4 linked regions of the Elephas maximus indicus genome follow. The protein of the gene in region 1 purifies or fractionates together with the protein of each later gene. This does not show direct contact. Links are inferred from orthologs where the notes say so. Each region holds a gene or a part of one and is shown in the gene's direction. Other genes may lie near its edges.

Evidence for each region.
Region 2: the proteins of SOX2 (region 1) and KHDRBS1 purify together in Homo sapiens (affinity purification with mass spectrometry; 3 studies listed by BioGRID and IntAct, with this or other methods). This does not show direct contact. The link is inferred for Elephas maximus indicus from reciprocal best matches to the Homo sapiens genes SOX2 and KHDRBS1.
Region 3: the proteins of SOX2 (region 1) and DNAJB6 purify together in Homo sapiens (affinity purification with mass spectrometry; 3 studies listed by BioGRID and IntAct, with this or other methods). This does not show direct contact. The link is inferred for Elephas maximus indicus from reciprocal best matches to the Homo sapiens genes SOX2 and DNAJB6.
Region 4: the proteins of SOX2 (region 1) and XRCC1 purify together in Homo sapiens (affinity purification with mass spectrometry; 3 studies listed by BioGRID and IntAct, with this or other methods). This does not show direct contact. The link is inferred for Elephas maximus indicus from reciprocal best matches to the Homo sapiens genes SOX2 and XRCC1.

Annotation. Positions count from the first base shown.
Region 1 is NC_064819.1:33,262,024-33,268,683, reverse strand, and holds SOX2 (transcription factor SOX-2), read left to right. Parts: upstream 1-4,725; 5' UTR 4,726-4,765; coding exon 4,766-5,722; 3' UTR 5,723-5,983; downstream 5,984-6,660. UniProt on the Homo sapiens protein: Transcription factor that forms a trimeric complex with OCT4 on DNA and controls the expression of a number of genes involved in embryonic development such as YES1, FGF4, UTF1 and ZFP206. Binds to the proximal enhancer region of NANOG.
Region 2 is NC_064821.1:72,957,895-72,965,553, forward strand, and holds the start of KHDRBS1 (KH domain-containing, RNA-binding, signal transduction-associated protein 1), read left to right. Parts: upstream 1-4,185; 5' UTR 4,186-4,392; coding exon 4,393-4,771; intron 4,772-7,659. UniProt on the Homo sapiens protein: Recruited and tyrosine phosphorylated by several receptor systems, for example the T-cell, leptin and insulin receptors. Once phosphorylated, functions as an adapter protein in signal transduction cascades by binding to SH2 and SH3 domain-containing proteins.
Region 3 is NC_064838.1:2,562,693-2,570,292, reverse strand, and holds the start of DNAJB6 (dnaJ homolog subfamily B member 6), read left to right. Parts: upstream 1-4,289; 5' UTR 4,290-4,624; intron 4,625-4,672; exon of another isoform or gene 4,673-4,819; intron 4,820-4,841; 5' UTR 4,842-5,061; exon of another isoform or gene 5,062-5,127; 5' UTR 5,128-6,773; coding exon 6,774-6,838; intron 6,839-7,600. UniProt on the Homo sapiens protein: Has a stimulatory effect on the ATPase activity of HSP70 in a dose-dependent and time-dependent manner and hence acts as a co-chaperone of HSP70. Plays an indispensable role in the organization of KRT8/KRT18 filaments.
Region 4 is NC_064829.1:106,923,816-106,931,742, forward strand, and holds the start of XRCC1 (DNA repair protein XRCC1), read left to right. Parts: upstream 1-4,437; 5' UTR 4,438-4,524; coding exon 4,525-4,575; intron 4,576-4,996; coding exon 4,997-5,089; intron 5,090-5,106; exon of another isoform or gene 5,107-5,312; intron 5,313-7,927. Other genes in the region: PINLYP (phospholipase A2 inhibitor and Ly6/PLAUR domain-containing protein), read right to left, coding at 1-62, 265-417, 2,106-2,222, 3,320-3,389. UniProt on the Homo sapiens protein: Scaffold protein involved in DNA single-strand break repair by mediating the assembly of DNA break repair protein complexes. Negatively regulates ADP-ribosyltransferase activity of PARP1 during base-excision repair in order to prevent excessive PARP1 activity.

The DNA of each region.
Region 1 (6,660 bases):
GTGATCACTTACACTGAAGTGTGATCAATGCTGTCATCACTTGCTCGCAGATAGTTGGAAGGTTAGGGTCTGGAGGAAACAGGACAAAGAAATAAGAAAGGAAAAAAAAACCTTCATTTGGCCAAATTTGACTCCTAATATATTTAACCAGTTCCAGAATTAGAAAGCCTCTCTGTACATTTTCTTCTATGGCTCTCTCTTTTTTCTTATGTAATGAAATTAGAACTTTTCGAGCCCACAGTTGACATTTTTTCCAGAAAATTGAGTTATCAAAGCAGTAATTATTTCACGGGGAGATAAAACTCTCACAGCCCTAACTGTCCAATGGGGCCCTTTTCAGGTTTTAATTACAGAATAAAATTAGTCCGCTCTTCCTCGGAATGGTTAGCGAGTGGTTAAACAGAGCTTCCCCCCAGTACTGGTGGTCGTCAAACTCTGCTAATTAGCAATGCTGAGAAATTCCAGTTAACAAGGACATTCTCCAAGACTCTGCAGGTTCCCTGCCGTCTGCCTTCATTTCCATAAGAAGATTAAGAGAGGAGGGGAACACACTCAAATTCAGATGCAGAAAAGAAGCGTTATTTAACAAGCATCATAATAGTCAGATGCTTGGCTAGTTCTCACCTAATTACTGCAAGTTAAACCACTATTTGCCACTAAGAAGAAAAAATAAGTCTACAGTCCCCGTCTCCACAAAATTGTTAGTTGGCTTTAGATATAATACTTGAAGATTTAGAGGGATGTGGGGGCTTTAGGAAAGATAAATCAATGCAAAAAAAAAATCTTTAAAATTGAGTTACACTTAGCAGCCCTTTTTGGATCCAGCCTACGGTAAAACAAAATCGAATCAGAATATTCCAGTAGTTATGCATTTGTTCCTTTTTTTTTTTTTTTAACCTTGCGCTAAAAGTTCTTAGGGTTTTTTTTTTTTTTTTTTTTTCCCCTGCCCATGGAAGGGAAATGTTTCACTCTCTTTAGATTAAGGACTTTCCGTTTTCATAAATTGTGTCAATGGCAACGTTTTAAACTCTCACAGGACAAAGAACTCTGTTCCAAGTCTTATTTTGGTTCCCTAGTAGTCACTGGTGTATTGTTATACTGTAGTTGTCTGCTAAGATCCTGAAACAGTGTTGTTCTGTCGACTCTTGTGGTTGTTATAGTTAGTATTATATTTAGGGGTTGAAATAGAGTGGCCAGCGATCTGATTTTTTTAATACATATGTTCCAAAAAATCTAACGAGAAAATTGTCTCTGCTATCAGCATCTTCTTTAATCTGGTTTTCTTAGCACATGGTTATTCATAAATGCCAGCCACAGTTAGTTTATCGCCTTGATAAGTACAGCAGGCTTAATTAAAATAAAGCTGCACATAAATGCAACCAGTAAGAACACAATTGTAATGTATTTCCATACCTTATTTATATGATAAAAGCAATTAACAAAGGACCTAGCAGCCCCTTTAACCTCTTAAATGCATTATGATAGAGTTCGGGCTGAGAATGTGCAAAAGGTTTTATATATCACCTTAAGGGGAAAAAATTGTGCATCTTGCTATGATTGAGGAAGAGAGAGAGATTAAAAAGATTTCCTTCTCTAACGATCTGTTATTAGTATTTATTTCCATACGTATACAGCACTATTATCGGCACCAGCCCCTTGGGTTTTTTTATTCGAACTTAATTATCCAAGAGCTTTTTTTTTTTTTTTTTTTAGTTTTCGGAAGAATGCCATTAAGCGCAGACCAGTTCGTACCCAATCATAAAGTGAATGCTGGGTCTGCCCTTCGTGGCTTCTGGACAATAATCATTCATTCATATGTTGAATCTCATAATTCGTACGTATTTTTTCCCATGGCTTAACCTCCCACTTATCTCGAGGTTATATGTACATTTCTAAGCTAAGCAAATTAAATCTGATTCTTATGATTTGGTCCACAGCTTGTATGATATGTTAACTTTTCTTTTGTTTAGATTACGTGTAATTAGTTTGATCTTCCTCCCATCCCCCTCATTTTTTTCCCTTTAATCCCAAACACTTTCTTTTTAAGGAAAAGGCGTAGTCTTGGGAAAACAAATCCACCAGTAGGGGGCGCACCAGCCACATCCCTGAAACAAGCCGCGCTGAAAAGCTGGTGGCCGCGGTCTCCAGCTCTCTCAACCTTTTCTTTCCTAATCTCGACGTCAGCGTTTACTTTAATATAACACCTCGATTAAACAGAAGACATTGCTTTATTTTGAAGACTACCAATACCACATATTCATACATATCGAGAAGTCCAGCTTCACCCTTCTTGAGTTCCCGAAAGCAAACACAAACGGCAACTTAGAAAAATGAGAACCTGTGGGGGAAGAAGGGTTGGTTCGAAATAATTTAGTCTGCAGGATTTATTTTTTTCATAACTTTTCTGGATTTCCAGTGGGCACACTTAGCTTGAGTTTGCCAAGAAGAGAAAAGCCAGGAGGGCAGGGATTGGGGGAAGCTTGAGGGTTTTTTTTTTTTTTTTTTTTTGAGGGGTGAGGGGGCGGTTATTGAGAAGAAGACAGTAAGGAACAAAACAATGCCCCGTTTTGCAAAGATAACAAACGGAACGTGGCCGGTGGATACCATTCAGTACGTTTGCTTAGGGTGCGTAAGGGAAGGTCAGGGGAGGGGAGGGCGGTGAGAGTTACAGAAGAAAATAAGTAACCCTGATGGTTTAAGCCCTTTATAAAATAGAAATGGCATCAGGTTTTTTTTTTTTTTCTCCTCCCTCCCCCCCTCCCCCTTTGGAGTCAAGTGCATTTTAGCCACAAAGATCCCAACAAGAGAGTGGAAGGAAACTTAGACCGGGCTTTGTTTGACTCCGTGTAGCGACAACAAGAGAGACAAAACTACCTATTTGTAACGGACGTGCTGCCACTGCTCTGGGCATTGAGCGCCTACCTACTGAAATCTTTACGTCGGGACAATGGGAGAGCGGCTAAAATTACCCTCTTGGGCCCTGGGCGGGCACCATTCCTGAGTCCCTACCCCCACCGCGCATCCCATCCTCCAGCCCCCGCCTTCCTGGGCTCCCCCTGCCCAGTCCTGGCCCCCTTCTCCCTGCAAGCGCAGCCTGCACCTGTGCGTGGCGGGCCCTACCCCCGCCTCCCAGGCCAGGAGCCCCCTCGAAGCGCAGCCCCCTCGGAGATGCGGCCCCTGCCTCGGAGCCAGCGGGGGGGTTGCCCAGGCTGGTTCTGCTGGAGTCCTGGGAACTCTGCGTGGGAGGGAGTTTGTGAGTCCGCCCAAATGCCACCTCCGTGTGCGCCGTGAGATGCCTGGAAGTTGAAATCACTCTCCCCCCACTGCCTGTACTTTTGAGCGTCCTTCTGTCTCTTTCTTCTCCCAGCCGCCGTTGGAAACCCGCACAACTGAAATCCTTCTTTGGGTAGTCTCAGGAGAAAAATGGGGAGAGGGTACGAGCGTGCGCATCCGTGGGCACCGACCGAGTTGGAGGAGACGGTGGGAGCTGGGGGAGGGGGCGGCAAGGGGACCAGCTGTGGTTTGCTGGGCCAAACCCGATTCGGGCAGGAAAAAGGGTGGTTGCCACAGCTCACCAAGGCCCTGCCTGTCCTCGGCTCTAGAGTCTGCCTCATGGCCGGAGCAGGATTTCTTTTTAAAAACAGAGCAAGTTGTGTGGAAACAATGAGGGTTTTGGGGACAGTGTTTCCCAGACTCCGAACTTCTTGTCGGGACCGTGAGAGGGGGCCAGAGAGCCCTGGCACCCGTGGAGGCCGCGGGGCCGCGGGAAGGGCGCGGAAGGAGAAGCCTCGAGGGGCTGCAGCTGGGCGGACGTGCGCGGAGGAGAGGGGGACAACGACACCAGGTCCTGCACGGCCTGCTTCCTGAAATGCTAGCCGGCCAGTCGCCCGGAGCCAGCCCTCGGCCCTGCCCGGCCGCCGCACCTTAGCCCCTTCCCGCATTTCAGCGCTCCACAGCAAAAAGTAAATCAATGTTAAAGTTTAAAGGAAAAAAAAAAAACGTAGTCTTAGTACTGTTTACCCACTTCCTCCGAAAAGGCGTGTGGTGTGACCTGTTGCAGGGAGGGGATACAAAGGTTTCTTAGTGGCTGGCAGGCGGGCTATGGGAGCCGCCCCCTCCCCTCCCCTCCCCTCCCCTCCCCTCCCCCCCTCCTTTCCCCTCCCCCTCCTTCCCCCTTCCCCCGCGGGCCGGCGCACAGGCCCCGCCCCCTTTCATGCAAAGCCGGCGGCGAGGCCGGGCTGGAGTGGAGGAGCCGGCGCGCGCTGATTGGCCGCTGGAAACCCATTTATTCCCTGACAGCCCCATCACATGGACGGTTGTCTATTAACTTGTTCAAAAAAGTATCAGGAGTTGTCAAGGCAGAGAAGAGGGTGTTTGCAAAAGGGGGAAAGTAGTTTGCTGCCTCTTTAAGACTACGACCGAGAGAAAGAAGAGGAGAGAGAACGAAAGAAGTTCGAGCCCCAGACTTAAGCCTTTCCAAAAAATAACAACAGTCGGCGGCGGCGGGACCGTCCGGAGGAGGAGGAGGAGGAGGAGGAGGAGGAGGAGGAGGAGGAGGGCAGCGCGGTGTCTGATCTTGATTGCAGTTGGCCTCTTTCTTCTTCCCCGCAAATTATCCTTCGTCTGCTTTTCCGCGCCGAGCCCCGCGCTCCCGCCGCCCCCGCACGCCTCCCCTCCTCTCCCCCCCGCCCGCGGGCCCCCCAAAGTCCCGGCCGGGCCGAAGGTCTGCGGCCGCCGGCGGGCCGGGCCCGCGCACAGCGCCCGCATGTATAACATGATGGAGACGGAGCTGAAGCCGCCGGGCCCGCAGCAAACTTCGGGGGGCGGTGGCGGCGGTAACTCCACCGCGGCGGCGGCGGGCGGCAACCAGAAAAACAGCCCGGACCGTGTCAAGCGGCCCATGAACGCCTTCATGGTGTGGTCCCGCGGGCAGCGGCGCAAGATGGCCCAGGAGAACCCCAAGATGCACAACTCGGAGATCAGCAAGCGCCTGGGCGCCGAGTGGAAACTTTTGTCGGAGACGGAGAAGCGGCCGTTCATCGACGAAGCCAAGCGGCTGCGCGCGCTGCACATGAAGGAGCACCCGGATTATAAATACCGGCCCCGGCGGAAAACCAAGACGCTGATGAAGAAGGATAAGTACACGCTGCCCGGCGGGCTGCTGGCGCCGGGCGGCAACAGCATGGCGAGCGGAGTCGGGGTGGGCGCCGGCCTGGGCGCGGGCGTGAACCAGCGCATGGACAGCTACGCGCACATGAACGGCTGGAGCAACGGTAGCTACGGCGTGATGCAGGACCAGCTGGGCTATCCGCAGCACCCGGGCCTCAACGCGCACGGCGCCGCCCAGATGCAGCCCATGCACCGCTACGACGTGAGCGCGCTGCAGTACAACTCCATGACCAGCTCGCAGACCTACATGAACGGCTCGCCCACCTACAGCATGTCCTACACGCAGCAAGCCACCCCCGGCATGGCTCTCGGCTCCATGGGCTCGGTGGTCAAGTCCGAGGCCAGCTCCAGCCCCCCCGTGGTTACCTCTTCCTCCCATTCCAGGGCGCCCTGCCAGGCCGGGGACCTCCGGGACATGATCAGCATGTACCTGCCCGGCGCCGAGGTGCCGGAGCCCGCCGCGCCCAGCAGACTTCACATGTCCCAGCACTACCAGAGCGGCCCGGTGCCGGGCACGGCCATTAACGGCACACTGCCCCTCTCGCACATGTGAGGGCCGGCCGGCGAACTGGAGGGGGCAGATATTTGCAAAGAAAAAACGTGGGAAAGGGCAGGGGGCGCGAAAGTGGAGAGAGAAAGACACCGCCCGGAGAAAAAGCCGATTCGCTCAACTACGGCAAAAATCTCATCGCCCGCAGCGAATGACAGCTCCAAAACAGAACACCGATCCCATCCACGCTCAAGCAAAAACCGCCACGCTGACGAAGAAACTTTTATGAGAGATCCTGGACTTCTTTTTGGGGAGTATTTTTGTACAGAGAAAAGCGGGGTGGGGGGGTGGGGAGGGCGGGGGAATGGACCTTGTATAGATCTGGAGAAGAGAGAACTACGCAAAACTTTTTAAAAGTCCTAGTGGTACGGTAGGAACTTTGCAGAAAGTTTGCAAATGTCTTTACCAAGAATATTTAGAGCTAGTCTCCAAGCGACGAAAAAATGTTTTAATATTTGCAAGCAACTTTTGTACAGTATTTATCGAAATAAACATGGCAATCAAAATGTCCATTGTTTATAAGCTGAGAATTTGCCAATATTTTTCAAGGAGAGGCTTCTTGCTGAATTTTGATTCTGCAGCTGGAATTTAGGACAGTTGCAAACGCGGAAAGAAGAAAATTACTCAGATTTGGACATTTTAATTGTTTTGAAATTGTACAAAAGGAAAAATCAAGAATACGTACTGGCAAAACCATCTCCGTGGTCTTCTTTAAAAGGGCAAAAGTTTTAGATTGTACTAAATTTTTTAACTTACTGTTAAAAGCAAAAATGGCCATGCAGGTTGGCACCGCTGGTAATTTATAGTAGCTTTTGTTGCTCAACTTTCCATTTTGTTCAGATAAAAAAGGCAACCTGGAATTACTGTGTTTGAAATATTTTCTTATGGTTTGTAATATTTCTGTAAATTTATTGTGATATTTTAAGGTTTTTCTCCTTTAT
Region 2 (7,659 bases), on another chromosome or scaffold:
TTTAGATTGAGGAACCAAAATGTGTGAAGTTTGGGGGACACAGGAGTCTTGATTTGTCTGAGGAACTGAAAAAGGCCAGGGTTGCCAAGCACAGGAACTAAGGAGGGGAATAGCCTGAGATGAAGCAAGAAAGCCAGGTGGGGCCAAGCCATGCAAGCAGGGCTGGGTCAGATAAAGGATTCTAGCCTTTATCTAAGGGCAAGAGGAAGCCACTGAAAAGGTTTAACCAGGTGTGTATGTGTGTGTGTTTGTGACAGAATGGAGGGTGGGAAGAAAGATGATTAGATCTGCGCTTTTAAATATGCTAGCTTCTAGGTGGGGAATGGATGGAAGAGGCACAGGAGTGGAAGTATGGAGACCAGGTCAGAGGTGGTAGGAGTTCAGGTGAGACATGATGGCACTTCAGAAGGAAGTAGAGGCAGTGGAGATAGAGAAAAGTGGACGGGAGTTGTGATATTTATGAGGTAAAAACAATAATACTTAGTAATGAATTGATACGATGCGGGTAGAGCTATGAGACAGCAGGTAGAAGTTAAGGACGACTCCCAGATTTCTGCCTTGGGCAGTGAGTTGAGGGTGTTGTTCCCTAAGATAGTGAACACAGGTTGGCAGTGAAGGCAGGGTGGAGAATGGGAGTTTTTTTGAAGGCATTTACTGAATGCCCTCTCTGTACCTGTCTCTGTTTATACATAAACAGAAATGGTGCCTGCCTTAAAGTGGCTCACCTGCTGTTTGAGGAAGCAGGCCAAAAAGATCATTATAGTTCAAACATCAAGCAGGCCTCTCTGGACTGTGGATTCAAACAAAGCCACAGGAACATCAATCATGAAGATATTCTGTTCTTGCCCCCGCAAAGTCCCTACAGGTATTTCTGGGACATTTCAAGGGACTTTTCACATGTGCCTGATAGACAAGGCAGTCTGCGGGCACATCAGCCCTGCTCTGCTCCCTTCTGCTCCCGCCCACCGCCCCTAGCAAAGGTGCCCACTGTGAGGGTGCTAAGGGCAACACCAGGGCTAGAGTGAGGCAAGCAAGTCTGGAAAGTGAGTGCCTCCTTATGTTTTTCTAGCCCTGATGCTCTCAAGGAAACCCTAGTGGTATAGTGGTTAAGTGTTAGGCTGCTAAACAAAAGCTCAGAAGTTTGAATCTACCAGGTGCTCCTTGGAAACCCTATGGGGCAGTTCTGCTCTGTCCTACAGGGTCAGAATTGACTTGATGGCAATGGGTTTGTTTTTTTTTTTTTGGATGCCCTCAAGGTGCTGGAGCAGGCCTGTGTTCAAGAAGAAGGAGCTTCCCCAAGCTTTGAGCTACGTTAAGTCATTTGGGCCCTAAAGCTGCTCTGCTAGTACCATGGTAAAAACATGTTGAGTTTGAAAGGACAGTGAGACATCCAAATGTGGATGTCAGGTATACAAACAGCCTCTGGGTTTAGAACTTAGAAGTTTGGGCTGAAGATCTAAATTCCAGAGCTGTGGGCACGGAGGCGACAGTACAGGCACAAGACCAAGCTTTGCTGAACGCCCAACGTTTAAATGCCCTGCTCCCTCTCCACCTGGCAGCCAGCCAAGTCCCAGCTTCCCTAACTCACCACCTGCCACAGTTGGTCACTCCTTCCTGTGCATTCCCACAACCGTCTGTATGTTCTTCTATTATAACTTTTTTCACACTATGTGGTAACTCTTGGCTTACGTATTTGTCTTCACTAAATGAAGAGCTCCTGGAGGGCAAGGACTCTCTCTTACTCAATGTTGAGTCCCCATTTCTGTGTCCCCTCTCCCCTCCCTCCACATATTTGGCACCAAGTGATGTACTTCCAAAAAATTAGCCATTGAAAACCCTACGGAGCACAGTTCTACCCTGACACACATGGGGCCCCCATGAGTAGGAAAGGACTGAATGACAACTGATTAAAGATGTTTAAGACTGAACAGGTTAACTACACTCTTGGAAGAGAAATTCTCCTGCCCAGGGCCCTTTCTCTCCTGGGAACTGGCTGCAACAACAGAGGAGGTGGTTGAAGCCTGCTGGATCCCCCATTCGTGGAGGTTACACAGGCTTCCCTCAACCCACCCTCAGAGAAAGTAAGCAAAGGTTTGCCTGCCACCCAAAAAGTCTGTTGATCCTAGTCTAGAAAACCCATAGGCACCACTACCCAACTCCTTCTCAGACACTTCTTTATCAAAGTTTTATTAGCCTCAGCTCAAGGTACCTCCATCTGGGCATCTCACTACAGAGCAAGGACACTTCAGTCATTTGTAACACCACCACCCAAGCAGGATTTTCAGGGATGGCGGCAGAAATGAATTGCAAGGGAGCTATAAATCCTCTCTGCCCCCTTTCCTCCCTCCATGCAGTCTCTTTCTCCACCCAACCCACCTATTCCTTCACAGTCCACAAATGGATTACTCCCATTCCGTGAATGCGTTTCTGACGCGTTTCTGACGTTCTCATCTCTGCTCGTTTATTCACGCTCCCCTTTGCCTGGAACTCATTCTTCCCAGGCTGACATCTCTCTTCCCCTGCTTTGATCTCTGGTAACCCTTAATTTTCCCTTATCTTTTGACACTTTGTCATATTGCATTCTGCATTACAATTATTCAAAACATTCTTTTATTCTCCTACTGGACTATAAACTAAGGACAAGAGCCACTTCTTATGTGACCTCAAAGTAAAGTGCCGCACCAAACACTGGAGATAAGGGTGGGGGGGGGGGGCACTGTGGTTGCACTGAGGGAGTAAGACAGGCAAGACAATTTATGGAGATATCTGTGTTTTGTAATGATTTCTGTAGGTAATTTCTTCCCACCCCCACCAGAAAAAGGTAGCCAGGCCCTTATGTGCCCTAGTTGAAGACTTGTAAGTTTCAAAAATGATTACATTTAATAATGTCAAATTACACTGATTTCAAAATTCAGTAGTTTCAAGGCACCCAAAAGAAAATTTCCAGAAATGCTTTTGAACAGTGTGGGCTCATTGGGGGAAGTGATCAAGAAAGAAAAGGGATGGTAGTGAATGCTTTGAATGGGGGAAGTCAAAATCTGTGGAGAGAAGGAAAGGTTAGAGAAGGCACTAACCTTTTATGGGAATGTTCATTGGAAAGTAGTGACCTGGGCTCCACTTTGCATATACCAGCCCCAGCAAGAGGCGAACGCGCACGGAGACTGTGCGGTGTGTACCCTGGTCTTCAAAGCAGGGTCTGTCTCTCTGAGCAAGTCTGGAATAATCCATCATGGAGGGCCCAACAGAGGCAGAAGGACTAACGCTCATCCGAAGTCACTCATCCGAAGAAGAGACACCCCACATGATGCAACCGCCACGAATTAAGCTCTAGCCCCATTTTTTGCGGAAGAAACAGACTGAGTGAAAGCAGACCGATATGTAAATAAGTGTTAAAACACTCCTTCCTTTACGAAGACTTCTCTGACCAACAAAGGTTAACGTTTAAGAGCCTACTGTATTGCAAGCCATGGGATAAGACTTCTCTGGTTCCCTTTGTGCGTGCCATTGCGAGATTTCAGGTCTCCGATCTGAATCTTCCCTCTTAGTTCAAATTCTCCCAACAGCATTTAGTCTCCCCACTAAGCCGTCCTTCCTCAATTTATCCCTCCAAGCTTCCCTTCCCCATCTCCACTCCTCATCCCTACGTCAAACTCTCCATTAGTCTTTGCCTCTTCACCCTTTCTCCTACTCCCTTTCTCTCCCCCTCTCCACACTTAGGCAGCCTCTCTCCCTCCTCTTTCCTGCCCAGCGGCCTCAATTCTCGCTCCTTCCCGGTGCGCTACTCGGTTCTCCTTTCGTTTCCACACTTCAACGACTCCCCACTTCACCCCATACCCCCACCCCCACCCCCACCCCCAGCCCATTGAACGCAACCTGGCCCCACAGCTCAGCCGTTGAAGGGGGCGTGGCCCCGCGAGTAACAGCTCTCCCGCCCCACACTCCGCGGGCCCCCGCGCAGACAAAGACATTCCACAGTCCCTGCCCCCTCCGCGCACTCGGCCAGAAGGGGGAGGAGACACGTGTCCCGCTAGCGCCGAGTCACGTGGAAAAGAAAACGAACGAAGCCGGAGCCACCCGCGCACGCGCACAAACCTTAGGCCTAGCGGGCTCAGAGGGAAATGAGGAGTGGGGAGGCGACTTCCTCGGGCGCCTAGGTGGTGCGCAGGCGCTGTGACTCCACTAGGGACTTTGTTCTCCGCGGATAAACCCAAGGGCGGTGCCGGTGGCTGGCTGCGCACGCGCGCCGCCTCATTTCCGGTGCTCTCTTTTGCTGGGTCGCTCGGGTCGGCTTCGGTCGCGATCGCCCAGGCTCTCCCACCTTCGCCAACCGCCGCTCGGGCCTCTGCAGCTGCCGCGTCTCTTCCTCGATCCGTTGACCGCACGTCCTCCCAAATGCAGCGCCGGGACGATCCCGCCGCGCGCATGAGCCGGTCCTCGGGCCGCAGTGGCTCCATGGACCCTTCAGGTGCCCATCCCTCAGTGCGTCAGACACCGTCTCGGCAGCCCCCGCTGCCTCACCGGTCCCGGGGAGGCGGAGGAGGATCCCGGGGGGGCGCCCGGGCCTCGCCCGCCACGCAGCCGCCACCGCTGCTGCCGCCCTCGGCCACCGGTCCCGATGCGACAGTAGGTCCAGCGCCGACCCCGCTGCTGCCCCCCTCAGCCACTGCCTCCGTTAAAATGGAGCCAGAGAACAAGTACCTGCCCGAGCTTATGGCCGAGAAGGACTCGCTGGACCCGTCCTTCACTCACGCCATGCAGTTGCTGACGGCAGGTGAGCGGGCCGCCCGGCCACCCGGGGGCGTGGGTGGCAGCGGCTTTGTTCCTCTCGCTTCCCGCCCCCTCGGGACCGAGGCATTCGTGAACTCCCCTACTCTTATCTTCGGGAACCTGGTTTCCAAAGCCTCATTCTTTCGCAGGGTGCGAGGGAGAATTTCTAGGCTGCAGTGGAGGCCCGAAGGCGGCTTGGCGATCTCTTAGCGCAGAGATCTTGATGGATGGTGCTGAGCTCTCCGTCACCCTTCCAACCCTTCCCTTTCCCACCTCTTGCAGCTGCCCCGCGCTCTGAGTGCTCAGATTCTTCCAGAAATGAATGTTTATTTCCCTGTTCTCCCAAAGGGAAAGAAAGCCTTTTCGATTGCAGGTGGTGGGTGGTGTAAGAGATGAAGACACAGCCCGGTTGGAGAGGGACCGTGGGAGGGAGGGCCGAGGTGAGGCTGGAGTGCCCTGTCCAGCGCGCCGTCTACTGTGGGGTCCGGTCGGACTTAGCGGTAACTGGAGCTTAAGTTTCCCCCAGGTAGGAGCGACCTGTGGGAATCCGAGCTTGAGGTTTTCCGAATGAGATTTCCGACTTCGGCTGATAAAATGATTAATTGCGACAAGCCAAAAGGTTGGCCCCCTTTATTTTATGATGTGCGTTCACCTTCATCATTCAAGAAGGAAAAATAACCCTAGAGACAGTGAAATGAGATGAGAGAGAGAGGGAAGGAACTCCAGGATGGTTTGCTTGCCGTTTCCAAATGAGATTGAGAGAAGTTTCGCGATGCTTGTACGTGAAAGGCTCGATCTTTTTGGTTTTTTCTATTGGTTTCAGTTGTGAACTAGAGATCAGGAATGGTAGTCTTTGTTCTCTGTCTGTAGACTGGCATTCCTTTCCTGATCGGCCCTGGCCAAGCATCTAGTCGCTCAGATTTGCCTTGCTTCTCGTTAAGACATTTTAGTAAGTATTTCTTATGATACGTAAATTTTCCTAAGTAGAAATTCACAGCCTTTAACACTAAATGAGTAGTTGGACTCTGATCAGATTGATATAAAAGGCAGATCATTATGAAAATATCGTTTCCCTCCCTTTTGTTCTCTATCTTCCAGCATTGGTAAGGAGTCTAGTTTTCAACACCGTAAACTAAAGTACGTGGGGGTCAAGAATAAAAACTTTTTGATAAACTGCTTACATTTTTTTAACTCACTGTTTTGCTGCCCTGTCCACCCATCCACATTGTTTGAAACATTAATGTTTATTGTGTTCTTCTGGCAGGTTCTTTGAGGGCAGTAATTGCTTTTCATCTTTAAATTTTTCACAATCCCTTGCATATAGCAAACACCAAATATGTCTGATTGAATCTGAAAAAATGTACATGCAGATTTAGGAATGTCAGACTGATTGGTAAAGCTTGACCTGATATTCTAATTTTTATTTACCCAAATCTTCAAATAATCAGTCCAGATAACATGTATGAGGAAAAGAAAGTAACAAATTTTAGAACTTCAAGGTGTTGGCTTTGGTTTAAAATTCTGATCCTTAACTAGTTACATGGCTTTGGGAAACTGAACCTCAGTAATCTCATCTGTAGAGTGGGAATGATGAGTTATGAAGGTTAAATGATGTGTAAAAGCACTATCACAGCTCTCTTTGACCTATAATCATTAAGTAATAATTTGTCACCTCAGCTGTCTTCTAGCTGTAAATCCACGGTACCCAACAAGGTATGAAACTCAGGATATTTTTTGCCTTTGTAACCGAACATCAGGCATCCAGTGTGGTGGTCATCTCTTAAGCAAAAGGTGGTTTCTTAGGGTAACCATCAAAAACTATTGATCCTCAAAAGTTAGTTATAATTTTCACCCTCCCTGCCTGCATTGCTTAACTTCTACCAAAAGAGTGCCTTTTAATTTTTTAACTTTGGCTTTTTTGATGTCTCCCCCCCCCCTTTTTTTTTTTTTAACCAAACTCAAATTTTAACTAGAGAGATGGGATTGAGGTACTACTGGCTCAGTGAAAGAACAGAATTGGGATACTTCTTAGCATGGATAAGTCTTGATCTATGTTGGGTGCAGCTTTTAGGGTATTTCTAAATGATCTGGAAAAGACAGATTCTGAGAACATGGAATAGTACGTAGTAGTATATGATGAGGACACATGTAAGAAAAATGTAGCTATAACAATTAGGTGCCAGGCACTGGTCTGAGTGCTTTACATTAAATATTTAATTTTCGTGGTAACACTGTAAGGAAGTTACTCTTACCCTTATTTTCACCTATTAGGAAACCGGGGTACACAGACGAAATAATTTGCTGAAGGTAGCAAAGTTAGTAAGCAACATAGCCAGAATTTGAACTCAGTCTGAGTCTAGAACTCTAGGTCCACACACTTATACCTCCCTTCCCCCCACCTGCTACAATTTGTACTTAAAAATTAAGGCCTAGTTGGATAAAGTATTAAAAATAAAATCTGTTTGAAAGCATCGGAGAGCTAACAGGACAGTGAAGATGATGAGGCCAAAATGCAGAAGAATAAAACTCAGAGAGTAGAGGCCAGCACTTGGGACAACGACTCCCCCAGGCACCTCTGCCCATTCCCAAAAGGTGTCACAAGACTTAGGCAACTCTTCCTACACTGCCCACCTTTTCTCTCTGACCTTTTACCAGCTTTGTATTATTTTGACCTTATCAGCATCTTGTGAAGGATATACTCTATTTGTTGACCACCCCTTCTCATTCACGACTAGGTCAGCTTCAAAAGGGCAGAGATATTTTCTGCTTTGTTCACCAGTGCATCTCCTGTGCCTAGAAGAGTGCTGCACAGGGTGACCTCTTACTGAGTATTTAATGAATGCTCACATTCATTATGTGATGAAAAAATATGGACACAATTTTAAAGGATGT
Region 3 (7,600 bases), on another chromosome or scaffold:
CAGTTGAGAAAACTGTGTGAATAACCGTATACTCACAGGTACATTCCACAGTTAGTATTTTGTTCTTTTTTAGGTATCTATCAAGATAATTAGATATTAATGTTAAGTTGGAGTAGTTACAAGAAAAAAAAAACCGTATAGTTTATCTTCCTAAATTCTTTTGAGTTCTGGGAATAAATCTATTTAAGACAAAACATTTTGATTTTATAAATGTCAAATCTTGTAGTCCTTTTCATGGTTTCTTAAAGCTTATACCCACCCACTTTATAAGTCCCTTTTATATGTTATTTAAGGTTATGTGTTTCTTAATTTCACTTCGGTGAATCTATCAAATTGATACATATAGTTAAGTCTTTACATCTAAGTACATTCAGGAAACCCTGGTGGCGTAGTGGTTAAGTGCTATGGCGGCTAACCAAGGGTTTGGCAGTTCGAATCCGCCAGGTGCTCCTTGGAAACTCTATGGGGGGCAGTTCTGCTCTGTCCTGTAGGGTTGCTATGAGTTGGAATGGACTCAGCGGCACTGGGTTTGGTTTTTGGTTTAAGTACGTTGAAACTTGTGAGAACCGGAACTCAACGGGGCTGCCTTGTTTTTCCAGGTCTCGCAAGTTTTGCACCTTTGGCAGGGTGCTGCCTTATTCTTTTTCTTTTGTTTGTTTTAGTGAAAAATATTTGTGCTTTCTGTCTCTGACAGGGTTTTTTTTTTTTTTTTTTTTGCCTTACACGGGTTCCAGTTTTTGCAGGTTTTACCGTATATCCTAATTTCCTTTATGGTTTATTTGATCCAAGAGCTTTTTGAAAAACAAGAGTTTGAAGTTTACACAGTTGTTCCTTTGTGCGTTTCTGATATTATTTCTGTTTTTATTGCTTTTGTGAGTGTTCCAGAATTGGTGTGCATGCTCAATTATACGTGTATGTGCTTGACCCTGTTTTATGTCCATCACAGCAAGCGTATTAGCAGTGCTCAGATTTTTTAGGCTTACTTTGTGTCTGATCTGTCACAATGATGCAGTGATTGTGGGTGTGTGCCTTTTGCCTTGTAACTCTGCTTTTGCTTTAGATGTTCCATGAGGCTGTGTTGGGTTCAGGATTCCCTGTTTTTTCATTGGGAAAAAATTGTTCCTGGTAATGCATGTTGTATTCACGTATGTCCTTCCTGGGGGTTTAGTACTGCTGAACGTTTTTGGTATTTGCCTGGTGAGTCTTTTCCATCCCATTAGCCCGAATTTTGTATGCGACTCTCGGAAACAAGGTAATTTTAAAAGTTCAATTTGAAAATGTCTTTAATATATTTGCAGTTATTGTGTTTAATAAATAATATTTATAGAGCACTTAGAATTGTGCCTGACTGCCATATGTTTGTCAAATTAAAAAACACAGCTTCCCTGCCTCCTCCCTCCCCTTTCTGCATTTTGTGTTGTTAGTGCTTGTCCTTAGGATTTTAGCATGCGTGCCATAGCTCTGTCTTCTGCCTCCCAAAGAACGAAGGAACCTTTAAATGAGCTCTCCTTATCCTGTGATTACTAGAACTTTGTTGAATCTTGTTTTAAAACCTCCCCAAGTTGGTCATAATTATGTATCACTTTTTTAAATCACTTAAAAAGAAACTGGTGTTTAGGGCTACCAATCTGTTTTAACAGTGTTTTTGCTAACCATTATTGTTCGGTTACTACATTCTTTAGAAAGGGTTCTTTCAGTAAACTTTGTCTTAAAATATCAGTCTGGTCCTTCCTTTGACTGGTAATTTAGTTACAAATAGAGTTCTAGGTTGATAGTTATTTTCCTCTGCATTTTTCAAGGCTCTTTCTTTCTTTGCCTTCTGGCCTCAGTTGTTAAAAATCTATCCCAAAACCTGTTGCAATCAAGTCAATTCCGACTCATACGGCACCCTATATCTTAAAAAAGAAAAAAAAAAAAGATGTCTGTTATCTAAATAATTGGAGTCCTGATGACACAGTGGTTAAGAGCTACATCTGCTAACCAGAAGATTGGCAGTTCAAATCTACCAGCTTTGGAAACCCTGTGGAGCAGTTCTGCTCTTCCTGTAGGGTCGCTATGAGTCAGAATTGACTCGATGGCAACGGGTTTGATTTTTTTTTTTTTTTTCTAAATGACATTCTTTCGCAGATAGTCTTTATGGTTGCTTTTAATAAAAAAAAAAAAAATTTTTTTTTAATATCTACTATATAAAGTCTCGGAAACCCTGGTGGTGAAGTGGTTAAGTGCTACTAAGAGGTTGACAGTTCAAATCCGCCAGGTGCTCCTTGGAAACTCTACATGGGGCAGTTCTACCCTGTCCTGTTGGGTTGCTATGAGTCGGAATCGACTCGACGGCAGTGGGTTTGGGTTATTATCCTGGGTGGTGGTTAGTTGTTCATGGGGTCGCCATGAGTCGAGGCCAACTTGATAGGAGCTAACAGTAACATTTTCTCTCTGATCTTTCCTTCTGATTTTCTTCAGATTTATGTTGAACCTTCTAATTCTGTATCCATGCCTCAATACATTTGTGTACTCTCCTGGATAATTTCCTCAGGTCTGATTCCGAGATCACAAACTCTGTCTTGTTGCTAGTTGCTGTTGAGCTTCACCAAACGTTGCCTGGTTCTGCGCCATCTTGATAATCATTGGTATGTTCGAGTCTGTTGTTGCATTCATTGGGTAGTTCCTTCCAACCTAGGAGGCTCATCTGCCACCACTATCTTGGATAAGAGCCTGTTGTGATCCTTAAGGGATTCACTGACCAGTTTTTGGAAATAGAGCGTCAGGCCTTTCTTCTAAGTCTGTCTTAGTCTGGAGTCTCTGCTGAAGCTTGTCCACCATGGGCGACCCTGCTGACACTTGAAATACTGGTGGCATAGCTTCCAGCATCATAGCAATACACAAGCTACCACGGTAGGACATTCTCTCATTAGTTCTATTTAACTTGCTTTAAAATCCCAGTGGTTAGTAATAATTATGATTTTGGATTGTTTTCCTATGACCTGATTGTTTTCTGTTTACCTGTAGCGTAGCTGCTGTTCCTTTGGTTTATCTTAATTACTTTATGCATGCTTCATTTTCTCTTTCAGGTTCTTATTTCAGTTTCGGGGGCGGGGGGGGGAGTGTTGTAACTTAGGCATCCTGAGTTCTTTCTTCGTATTTAGGATTTAGTTATGAGCTTGTCTTTGGCAGAATTTGTGTTTTCTGTGGGAATCTTTGCGACGTGGATTGTGGAGATGTTTCTCCTCCACACCTTTGTTGCGGCACTATCCTGGGGTTAATATTCGTTAATTTTAGGAAAGCTTGGGGCACTGCAGGGTAATGCAGGTAATAAAAGTCAGTTTAGCTTTTAGGGCCTCAGGCTCTCTGGGCTGCCTTCTCCTTTCCTCTTAGTGGTTCAGTGGGAAGAGCTTTTCTTGCCCCTCTTTTTTGGAGTTGCAACCCCGTAAGTCTTGATGAGCCCACGTTTATGTAGGAATCTTAGTTACAGCCACTGGTTTCTTGTGCCTGCAGAGCAGGCCTTCAGCCTGAAACCCCAACGCCCTCCCACTCCTCTGCTTCCCTCTCACACAGATGTACAGGCTACCTCAGGATTACTGCTCTTGCTTGTAATTCCTGTTTGCTTCTGGCCCTTGAGCTCTTTCTGTCTTTTAAAAAATTGCTTTATTGTTGTAAAAATATATATATAACAGAACATTTGCCAACTCAACATTTTTTAAGTTTACGATTCAGTGACATTGACTATGTTCGTTACATTGTACAGCCATCACCCACTGTTAACAGAAGGTCAGTGACCCTAAGCAATGAATGACTCCCCCTTTTCTACTCACCTCCCATCATTGGTAGCCGCTTATAAATTTTGGTCTCTACATTTATTTGCTTATCCCATATATTTCCTATTCTTTCTCTCTCATTGGGAGCTAAGTCGTCTCTGCAAGTTTACTTTTTGTAATGTGTCTACATTTCTAGGTACTTGTAGTAGGAAGTCCTGTTAGCTCGCTGTGTGACTTTTGGAGTTAACTGTTTTGGTTTACTAGCTTCTGGATTGGTTAGAAGCGAGTCTGAGCTCTGTATGCTTCTTCCTAATCTGTCGTATAGTAGGTACTAATCTGTCGTGTGGTAGGTACTAATCTGTCATGTGGTAGGTACTAATCTGTCGTGTAGTGGTACTGATCTGCCGTGTAGTGGTACTGATCTGCCGTGTAGTGGTACTGATCTGCCGTGTAGTAGGTACTGATCTGCCGTGTAGTAGGTACTGATCTGCCGTGTAGTAGGTACTGAACTGTTGTGTAGTGGTACTGATGTGCCGTGTAGTAGGTACTGATGTGCCGTGTAGTAGGTACTGAACTGTCATGTAGTGGTACTGATGTGCCGTGTAGTAGGTACTGATCTGCCATGTAGTAGGTACTGATGTGCCGTGTAGTAGGTACTGAACTGTCATGTAGTGGTACTGATGTGCCGTGTAGTAGGTACTGATCTGCCGTGTAGTAGGTACTGATCTGCCGTGTAGTAGGTACTGAACTGTCGTGTAGTAGGTACTGATCTGCCGTGTAGTAGGTACTGATCTGCCATGTAGTAGGTACTGAACTGTCGTGTAGTAGGTACTGATGTGCCGTGTAGTAGGTACTGATCTGCCGTGTAGTAGGTACTGAACTGTGGTGTAGTGGTACTGATGTGCCGTGTAGTAGGTACTGATGTGCCGTGTAGTAGGTACTGAACTGTCATGTAGTGGTACTGATGTGCCGTGTAGTAGGTACTGATCTGCCATGTAGTAGGTACTGATGTGCCGTGTAGTAGGTACTGAACTGTCATGTAGTGGTACTGATGTGCCGTGTAGTAGGTACTGATGTGCCGTGTAGTAGGTACTGATCTGCCGTGTAGTAGGTACTGAACTGTCGTGTAGTAGGTACTGATCTGCCGTGTAGTAGGTACTGATCTGCCATGTAGTAGGTACTGAACTGTCGTGTAGTAGGTACTGATGTGCCGTGTAGTAGGTACTGATCTGCCGTGTAGTAGGTACTGATCTGCCGTGTAGTAGGTACTGAACTGTCGTGTAGTAGGTACTGATGTGCCATGTAGTAGGTACTAATCTGTCGTGTAGTAGGTACTGATCTGCCGTGTAGTAGGTACTGATCTGCCGTGTAGTAGGTACTGATCTGTCGTGTAGTAGGTACTGATCTGCCGTGTAGTAGGTACTGATCTGCCGTGTAGTAGGTACTGAACTGTCGTGTAGTAGGTACTGATGTGCCGTGTAGTAGGTACTAATCTGTCCTGTAGTAGGTACTGATCTGCCGTGTAGTAGGTACTGATCTGCTGTGTAGTAGGTACTGATGTGCCGTGTAGTAGGTACTGATGTGCCGTGTAGTAGGTACTGATGTGCCGTGTAGTAGGTACTGATCTGTTGTGTAGTAGGTACTCTGTAAATGTTCTGGTGTTGTACAGGTGGAAGTGTATACGTGTTTGGAGTCATGATGTAAAATTTATTTGTTACCATAGGTTGCTTCCCAAATCTGGAAAGCATAAATATAATAAAACTGTGCAAAATGGAATAACTCATAATTTTGGCATTATTTGACCTCGACATCATGCAGCCTCAGCAACGTGGTGTATCTGCCTTAAGAATATATGATCTCATGTATTCTTTTGTAATCAGAATATTTCTTTTGAAAATTCCTGGAACCATAGTTTCTGGAAAGGCTACTGAAAGCCTAGCTTCAGTTTGGCTGAGTGGATTTATAACAGAACTTGCTTAATTGGTTGAAGTTATTTTATACTTTTGCATGTAGTAGACCTGTTCTATGGAGTTTCTTGTTCATAGGTTTAATAAAGTGATTTAGCTAGTCAGATTTGAAGAAGTAGGAGAACTTACACTTTAATACTGCTGCTACCACTTGCCAGCACTGAAAGGGGCAGCGTGTGTGTAGTTCCTGTCTGGTTTATGGGACCAGAGGCTGCAGCCTCTCAAGTAGGGAAACAGAACTGCTTTTTACTGTGTTACCCTGTGACGTAAGAACCAACTGAACCCACCGGAGGTGAAGCAGAATTTGTGCTCCTGTTTTCTGCTGAAGGCATTATCTGTACTAATAACTTGTAATTAGTATTGACAACAGGAAAATATTGTTTTTGTTTGATAAATGGATGGAGAATTTGAGCCAGGGGTAAAATTACACTAATAGCACGGTAGTCAGATTTCCATGTTATCTCCCAGGAAGACAAAGCAGGGGTGTGTGTGAGAAGACTTTTTCTATTTGGGTAGTGAGAGCTACAGAAACCCGGAAGAGTGTCTTTATGTCATTCCCATTTTAAGTTTCCTGAGGACAGGGACAGTGTGTTCATCCTTGTAGACCCAAAGTCTTGCACAATACCTGGCACATGGAACGCGTTGGGCAGATGAGGTAACTGAAGGTCTGCCTGTGTCTAGGAAAACAAGATTCCCAAAATGAGCCTGCCGGTTAAGTGATCAAGTGGGCAGTGCGTCTCTCTGCCTCAGAGTCACCTGTTAGTTTTATTTAGTTTAGGCTATTATTAGGCTATTTCAGAACTTTTTTCTCCTGTATCAAGAAGGGGTTTAGAGCATGAGACCTGGAACCTGTTGACAGCCTGACAGGGATAATGGTTAGCTAACAAAAATTATTTCTGTCACGTAGGGCCAGTAGTTGCTGAGATGTGGTCCACCTCACCCTTCCTCCATTTCCTACCCTGCACCCATCCCCCATTATGTACTGAAACTTGGCAGTCTTGTCATTGACCAGAGATTTTTAATTACAGGATTCGTTCCAACGATCTGGTAAAACATGGTGGATTACTATGAAGTTTTAGGCGTGCAGAGACATGCCTCACCCGAGGATATTAAAAAGGCGTAAGTAATTTTATTCTTGAAATAATAAATTTTTGTAATTTTACATTGGTAATTGGGTAGTGTAATTTTGTATATTGCCTATTAAATGGTTTTTGATGTATTGTAATAGCCTTTTAATGCCACACAGTTTAATTTTCACTTTAACAGAACATTCATAAATTGACATTGGTATTCTCAAACCTAGGCATAACCTAGTGGAATTCTGTTTCTGCTTTATAAAGTTCAAAAAAATTACTGATCATATGAAGTAATGCAGAAGAACCTGGAGACTGGGTTTTGAACTGTGATTGACTCGGTCCTCTTAGGCACCTTTTCTCGTAGTGCGGACCCAGAGCGTAGCACCGTAACTTACTAGGTGTAATTGCTTAAAGATCTAGGCTGCTAGACTGCATCCTAGACCATTTGAATCAATTCTGATTGACATTAAAGCTGGAGAACTACTCATTGCCTGTGGTACCTTAATGTTTCTGACCAGGGCTTGTCTGATTTGAGGAGGGCAAGTCCCGGGTGACAGAACAATTTGTAGGTTGGCTCTGAAGGTAACTCAGATCTGTTCACTTAGATGTTAATGATAAATATTGAGCGTACAGCAAAAAGGTCATTATTTATATTTTGTAGATTTTAAGCATAGCTAGAGAGACCAATTAATAATCCTGAAAGAAGTGGAAATTAGGTTTTAGTGTATGTTAGAGGAACCAACTTTTTTGTTTTTGTAACAGTCGTTAATCCGGAATGGAGTTTATGTTACTAGACTTAGTGGAT
Region 4 (7,927 bases), on another chromosome or scaffold:
CTGGAAGGGCGCAATGCAGGCTGGGCACTGGAGGCCATTCTCGGTTCGATTGTTTTGGGGAGCTGGGGGGAGTGCAAGGTGAACAAGGACATTAAAGCCCATCCCCCAACCACACAACCACTCTGGGGGATACAGAGCCACCACGTATTTTACATGTGGGGAGTCTGAGGCTCTGTGCAAGTAAGGTGCTTGCCAGATGTCACCACACAGCTCTTGGGACAGGGCTAGAAGGGGCTCCCTGCGCGGGCCAGGGTAGATGCTTACAGGGTATGGAGCCTTGATTGCAGCCATCGCTCTGGCAGCAGTATGCATTGGAAACCATGTAGTCCTTGGGGCCCATGGTGGTGGACACAAAGCCGGAGTAGCAGTCTTTGAACTTCATGCAGGCCTTGTAGGTGTTCACCGACTGACGTCCCTCTGTGGGGTGGAGGATGGAATAAGGGGCTGGGCAAGGCATTTGGCCACACCCAGCCTCGAGGGCTCTTCTAACCCTACCCGCCCCCACCAGCAACTGCCTGGGACAATCTCTTCCAGCCCCAAATCTATACCCCCTTATCTGCCTGGGGTGGTCTCTTGCAGCCCTCTAAAGCCATACGCCTGGTCCGCCTGGGTATACTTTGGAGTGGCATGTTAGGAAGCCCTCCCTACTCATTGCCTAGGCCGCATTAGGTCTTTGGGGGTCTACTGCAGCTCTCCATTGCCAACTCCCCAGGTGCCTGCTTGACATGGTCTCTTTCAAACCACTCCACTGCCATCCTTCTCTCCTGTCCAGCCTGTAGTGGGCTTTTTCAGGCCGTTTAATGGTTACCCCCCATGTCTTCTTGAGGTGGTCTCTTCCAGCCTCAGAACTTTCGCCCTCTGCGCCTGGGGGGGTCACTTCCAACAAACCCTGGGATACTGCACACTCCCGCCCCAACACCTGTGCCCCTACTCTGTCTAGGGCGGTCTCTTCCACACTCCCCCATGGTCCATCCCCAGGCCTCCCTTTGATGGTCTCTTGCTGCCCTCCTTCCAGCTCAATCCAGTGGTTTCCCTTCTTTCTCTCACTCCCAAGGGTGACTTTTCTCCAGCTCCCTTCAACACCCCTTCAGGGTCTATATCTTCCCCTATCTGCTGTGGTTGCTCTCCTCAAGCCTTTCAAGTCCTTTCTGCCACCAGCCAACGTTTGCTGCGTGGGTGGGACTGCATGCAATCTTCTAGCCCAACTTTCTTATACAACTTTTCCTGTCAGGGTGGTTTCTTCCTACACGCAGGGTTACCCCTCATCTCCTGTCACAGCCTCTCCTCCTGCATCTTGCCCCATCTCTCCTCCTGTGAGGAATGGTCTCTTTCAGCTTTGAAAGAAAATCCCCCCCCCCCCCAGTGGTCTATTCCATTGGTGTTCTTTCAGCCTTTCTCAGGTCTGGAATGGTCTCTTCCATTTAAGTCATGCTCCCCCTCTTCCTTCCATTTCATTCTTCGTCCCCAGTCCCCCCCCTTAGGATGATTTTCTCCATAATTCGTAGTTATCGTCCCCCCCCGTCTGGAATGGTCTCTCCCTCTCTCCCTCTACCCCAACATCATCTCTCCTCCTCCTGTCAGAAATGGTCTCCCCGACATCCCTGAGGTGGTCTCTTCAAGACATCTTTTGGTCGATTCCTCCCTCTTGTCCAAAATGGTCTCTTCCCTGATCACGTTCCTCGGACCTTCTCCCAGTCTCTTCCTTCTTCTCTATCACCCTCCCGTTCTCCTTGCCTATTAGATTCTTCCACTGTATTTCTCTGTTCCTCCTTGTCCTTTCCTCACCCCCTCCCGCCTAAGAAAGTCTCTTTAAGCCCTCCCCCATAGCCATCTTCTTTTGGAGTTGCTCGTTTTTTAAAAATCTAAAAATGGCTTGTGTCTCCATTCAGTTGTCCTCCCTCCACCTTGTGATGGTTGTTTCCTCTTGCCTACCCCATCCAAATTTCTTCTCACGCCTCACCCTGCTTGCGAACTGGGATGACCCCTCCCGCACCGCCCCCCCCCACGCCCCGCTTCCGCCTGGTGGTATCTTTTTCCCACCCTGAAGGTTCTCCCCCAGCCCCCTAGCTATGGTCAGAAGCCCTGCAAAAGCCCTGCGTTCGTACTTGTGCTCGACTCCCCCACGACGACTACGCACGCGTCCTTGCCATCCTCGCATGTCTTCATTTTTCCGTTGCACGTGGGCCCAGGGCCCTTGCACACCTCACAGCTTAGTGGGCATCCTATAGGGTAGAGATCGGGGCTGTAGTCATGGGCGGTGCGATTAGTGGGCCACGACTCCCACTTCGGAGTCCCGAGGGAGATGGGGGCAGGGTTTGAGGGAGGAAGGGACTGGATTTCTGGTCCTGAGGAAGGTCCAAGGCCCAGACTGATGGGTCTTGAGAGAGGCTGGTGTCTCTCTGGTTTTTCATGGGTGGGACATTGCTGCGTGTCCGGGGACCTGTCCAGAACTCTGACAGGAACGCGGTGATGATGTCACCAAAGCTGCTCCCAGGGCAGGAAGCGACTCCACCGTGAAGCCTGTTACCTAATTACAAGGCTGGGGGCTTTGGAGGACAGGATCCGCAGAGAAAGCTCAGAGCTGGGAGGGTTCGTACTGAAGGCTTTCATGAAGTTTCAGGTTCAGCTGGTTCAAGGGTTTGGAGCCCTCCCACTTGCAGATACAACTTAGGTCTTGCAAACAGTAGGAGCTCAGGCAGCGGTACCTGAAGCTGGAGTTTGCCTCCAGTCCAAGGAGGGAGAGTGAGGACCAGGAGGGCTGGGGGCATGGACCCCTTAGTGTTGACAGAGGAGGGGCTGGGGGCCCAGACACCTGGGTCATGGAGAAAGTGGGGCTGGTGTCCAGACTCCTGAGTCTGAGGAAGGAGGGGCCTGGGATGCTGGGTCTGAGGGAGAAGAGGGCTGGGGGGCTGGACCCTTGGGTCTGAGGGAAAAGGGGGCCTGAAGTTATTAAGAGTCCAGGGAAAAAGGAGCTCTCTCTCATTCATATTCTCTCTCTTAATTAAAAAAACAAAAACAAAACAAAAAAACCCTTTCTAGTCATGCTCTCATCTGATTTTCTAGAATTTGGATGTGTTGCTTTGGGACCCTACCTAAGGGAAAGAGGATTCAGAGCCCATCAAGCCCCCTTCTCTCTCAGGGGTCCAGTCATATGAGCATTTCTTCCCTTGGGGCCCCAGACTCTCTGTTAGTGTCTGCCTCCTCCATGAGTCTGTATCCCTGGGTACCCCACTTTACCCCCTGAGGACATTTGCTGAATGTTCTTTTATAGTCCCTGCTTTCCTGAGGGTCCCAGGAGTCCAGGGCCCCAGTCACTCACCGAGACCCAGAAGGGTGCAGAGCAGCGTGAAGGTCAGCAGGAAGGCCCTGGGTCCAGCAGAGGTCCTCATGGTGTGTGAACCTGTAGTCCCGTGTCCCCAGCCCTTATAGGAAGCTGAGGAGGGGCGGGTCCAGACCCACCTTCACCTGCGGTGAGAAGGAGCTGAGGTCAGATTGAGCCCAGGGCAGGTCTCTGCAGCCCCCGGGTAGGGGAGGTGCAACTAGCATCCAAAAGGTATCCAGGCATCTGGTGCCCAGCCCCCTCCTCCACTGGAATCCCGGGAGTCTGGGGTTCCAGCACCCTCTTCCATCAGGACCCAAGAGATCACTTTCCCATTTTTCACACCCACATCTTCTTTACTCAAAGCCCAAGGTCTGAGTGGGGTCACTGTATTCCCTGTGGGTGCGAAGCAGCTACAAGGACTGGGATCCCCTCTCACCTTCCCAAGGAGGCACCTAGCATGGGTGGGGCCCCACCTGGGAGTGCCCAGCATGTCCATGCTTGTTCTGCAGGACCCAGGCGACTTGTCCTCCTTCCCTTTTCCTTCTAGCACTTGGCTCATGCTCCCTTCTTTATGTCCGGGCTTTCTCTGGCGCCGACCCCGTCCAGGGCTGCACGCCTGGGTCTGTTGCGGACCGAACAGAGGGGTGCCTGTCCGCGGCTAGCGTGGGCGTGGCAGGAGACAGATGCTCACAGGTCACATTGGGGAACTGAGGCGTGGGTGGGAGTACTCTAAGCTGTGTGTGCGTGTGTGTGTGCGTGTAGCCAAGGGAGCCGATTAGGCTCCCCGCGAAAATCCAACTCAGGTTGGCTGTCTTGTGTTTAGGCTTCAGTTTGGGCGGTGATCGCATTGTCCAATGAGAATGGCGAATTTCTCCTGGGGACCAATCCCGGAGGCCGCTCCAGTTGCTAGGCGCCCAGGAAGCAGGATGTAAACGTCACCGGGAGGAGAGGTTAGAGCAGTGGGGTCAGAGAGAGGCGGGGCTAGAGAAAAGCTTGTTGCTGGGTCCTCGCCACTCCGCGCCTTAAAGGCGCAACTGAGCATGCGCAATGTCGACGCGGGCGCCGGCGCGCCGCAGTTTGAAAGGCCCGAGCCTTGCGCGCTTGCGTACTGAAGCCCGTGCAGAGGAGCGCCCCCACCCTCCCCGCCCCCAAACCCAGGCCCACTTGCCTCCTTCGGGCCAGGCGAAGGCCACGACTTTGACATGCCGGAGATCCGCCTCCGTCATGTCGTGTCCTGCAGCAGCCAGGACTCGGTGAGGGGCCGGCGTGGGGGAGGTTGGAAGACGTAAGGAGATTAATGAGGGGTGCTCTACAAGAACCTTTGGGGGTGTAACAAGGAACTTCAGGAAGGTCTAAGCAGAAAAAAAGCCAAGGGTAAATTTCCAGGAGGGTCTAAGTGAACTCTGGGAGAGATGTGGGATAGAGGAACTTCCGGGCGTCTGTGGAGTTTCCGGAGAGAAAAGGAGCAATAGGGGAACTTTCTCGGGAGAGCCTGGAGGTGAACTTCTAGAGGAGAAGGTTGTAGAGGAAACTCAAGGCAGGGTGTGGGGGGATTAACAGAGGAACTTACATCTGGGGGATCGCAGAGAGCTTGGAAGGATTCGGAGAAATAATCTGAGAGCTGAGCCTAGCTCTCATCTCAGTGCCATAACCCTCTCCCATTCTTGTCCCTAGACCCACTGTGCAGAAAACCTTCTCAAGGCGGACACTTACCGGAAATGGCGGGCAGCCAAGGCAGGCGAGAAGACCATCTCTGTGGTCCTCCAGGTGACCCTGCCCTCTCCCCACCTTCGTCTCACCAGAAGTCTGGAGACCCAGGGTCCAGGCTCAGCTCTTGAGTCAGCTGGCAGTGCACTGAGTCACTTTCCCTTCTGGGCCTCAGCTTCCTTACCCCGAAAATGGGTTGTGTGATCCCTGTGCCCCACAGCATAGAAGAAAAGAGACCCAAGAACTAGGCCAGAGATGACCATGGCATCAGGATGTGGCCCTGGTAGGTTGCTTCCACATTCCGGGCCTTATTTTCCTCAATGGGAACAGAGTGAATTATTGCCATGTATCCTGACTACTAAGGTCAGTGGACTCAGCGCAGGAAGGTGTCCAGGAAGATCATTTATGCCAGTCAAGTCCGTTTTTAACAATGAGGAAACTGAGGTGTAGGAAGGGGAAGTGAAGTGACCAGTCTCAGCTACCATTTCTGGAGTGCTGGCTGGCGTTTTTCTGAGTACTTTTTGTACATGTTCTCACTGAATTCACTCCACAGTCCTGTGAGGTTATTAATGTTGTTAATGTTTTGCTATCACATTGATTCTGTCTCACGGCCACCGCATGTGTGCAAAGTATAATTGCTTCATAGGGTTTTCAAGGCTGTGACATTTCAGAAGCAGATGGCCAAGCCTGTCTCCTGAGGCAACTTTGGGTAGATTCGAACTGCCAACCTTTTAATTAGTAGTTGGGCACTTAACCATTTGTACCACTAAAACTTCCTGTGAGGTTGGAGGGAGGCAAATAGGAGAGAGCAGCTTGACCTGAGATAGTTACAGAATTCCACACAGGATGTTCTTGTCAGGAATACGAAAACGATGGGAGAAGAATGCCAAATGTGTATTAAGCATCGACTGTTTCACCTGCGTGATCTTGGTTTTCTGAGGCTGAGATTGTACTTACTGCTTTCTGTTTAGACACTTTCTTGATTTTGGCCACATTCCTTAGTTCTGAATGTGGGGGTGTTTGGGAAGGAATGTTGGGAAGGCTTGCATGATTGTATTTGACACTGAACAATCTTGGTCTCTGTATTGACCAGGGATTCTAAAAAAAACTTTGGGATCATAGAGCCTTTTGAGAATTCGATAGAAGCTGAGAATTCTCTTCCCAGGAAAAATACACAGACCCACAAAATTTCCTGAAACCCTAACATAATAATAATGAGCACTAACATTTATTTATGTTACAACCTGCCAATCACCGTTCTAAACACCTCATATGGATTGACTTGTTGAGTTCTTATAAAAAGCCCCGTGACCTAGGGTCTATTATTATCTCCATCTTGCAGATGAGGAAACTAAGGCCCAGAGAAGTTATGCAGCTGGCTCAAGAGTCAGTGTTTTAAATTGAGGGAGGTACAGCTTGCTCAGGATTTATTATCGGGACCTGAATTCATGCTCTCCCTCTTACTCACTCTCTGACCTCAGGCAAATGTTTCGTTTCTCTGAACCTGTTTTCTTATCTGTCCATTAGGAATAATAAGATCTAAGCCCAGGGTTGTTGTGAAAATTCAGTGACATAATGTCTGCAAGAGTGATCTGTCAACATGCAGGTGTTTGTGTAAGGGGTGGGATTTATGTTATTATTACTGGGTGATGATTCTCCTGGGCTTCCTTATGATCAGGTGACCCCAAGGGAAATCATGTTTGAGTTTGCATGTTGCAGTGGAAACACGGAGACTGGAGGCAGAAAAGACTGGACGTAGAGGGTGAGGAAGCAGGAGGAGCCAGATGAGGTACCAGGTTCTTTGGCTGGGAGACTGAGGGCAAGAGTGCAGCTGAAATGGGTTACCCAGAGAGAGAGCAGCTTGGGAAGGTGATGTGTTTGTTGGGACATCCAGGTTTGATATGACTTTGGGGCATTCATGGGGCAGCATCCAAGAGACAGTTAGGGATTGGATATGGAGCCAGAGCCAGAGGTGTGGGACTTGTCAGCACAGGGACAGGACCAGAAGGCCTGGGAGTAGATGGATTCGTTCATTCATATGTTCATGCATTTATTCAATAGGTATTTATTAAACACCTTCTGTAGAGTCAGAATCAACTTGACGGCAAGTGGTCATAGGCCACATGGAGACCCTGGGTGGTGTAAGAGGTTTATGTGCTCGGCTGGTAACCAAAAGGTTGGAGGTTTGAGTCTACCCAGAGGTGCCTCAAAAGAAAAGCCTGGCGATCTTCTTCCAAAAAATCAGCCATTGAAAACCCTATGAAGCACAGTTCCACTCTGACCATCAGTTGGAATCAACTCAATGGCAGCTGGTACTGACACCATAGACCACGCACTGTTTTGGGTGTTGGGCTTTAGAACAGCGGACAGCACAAGCCGAAAGGTATCTCAGGCCTTGTGGGGCTTTCATATTGGCAGGGAAAGACAGACAAACAAGTCGATAAGTAAAATATATGTCAGATGATGAGTGCTGTGGGGGAAAATTAAGGTTGAAGGCAATAGTGCTCAGGAGAGGAGGGCGGTGGTCGATGGTTTTTATTCAAATGGTGGGATTGTGAAGGCCTCCCTGAGAAGGTGACATTTGAGCAGAGTGAACTACGCAGATATCTGCCTAAGAACATTCCAGGTAATTGTTAGTTGCTGTCGAGTCGATTCCCAAGTCATGGCGACCTCATGTATGACAGAATGAAATGCTGCCCGGTCGTGCACCATCTTCACGATCACTGATATGGTTGAGTCCGTTGTTGAGGCTGCTGTACATTTTGAGTGCCTTCCAATCCAGCACAATATCGGACAGTATTCAGTTGTGATCCATAGAGTTTTCATTGGTTGTTTTTCAGAAGTCGATCGCCAGGCCTTTCTTCCTAGTCTGTCTTAGTCTGGAAGCTCCATTGAAAC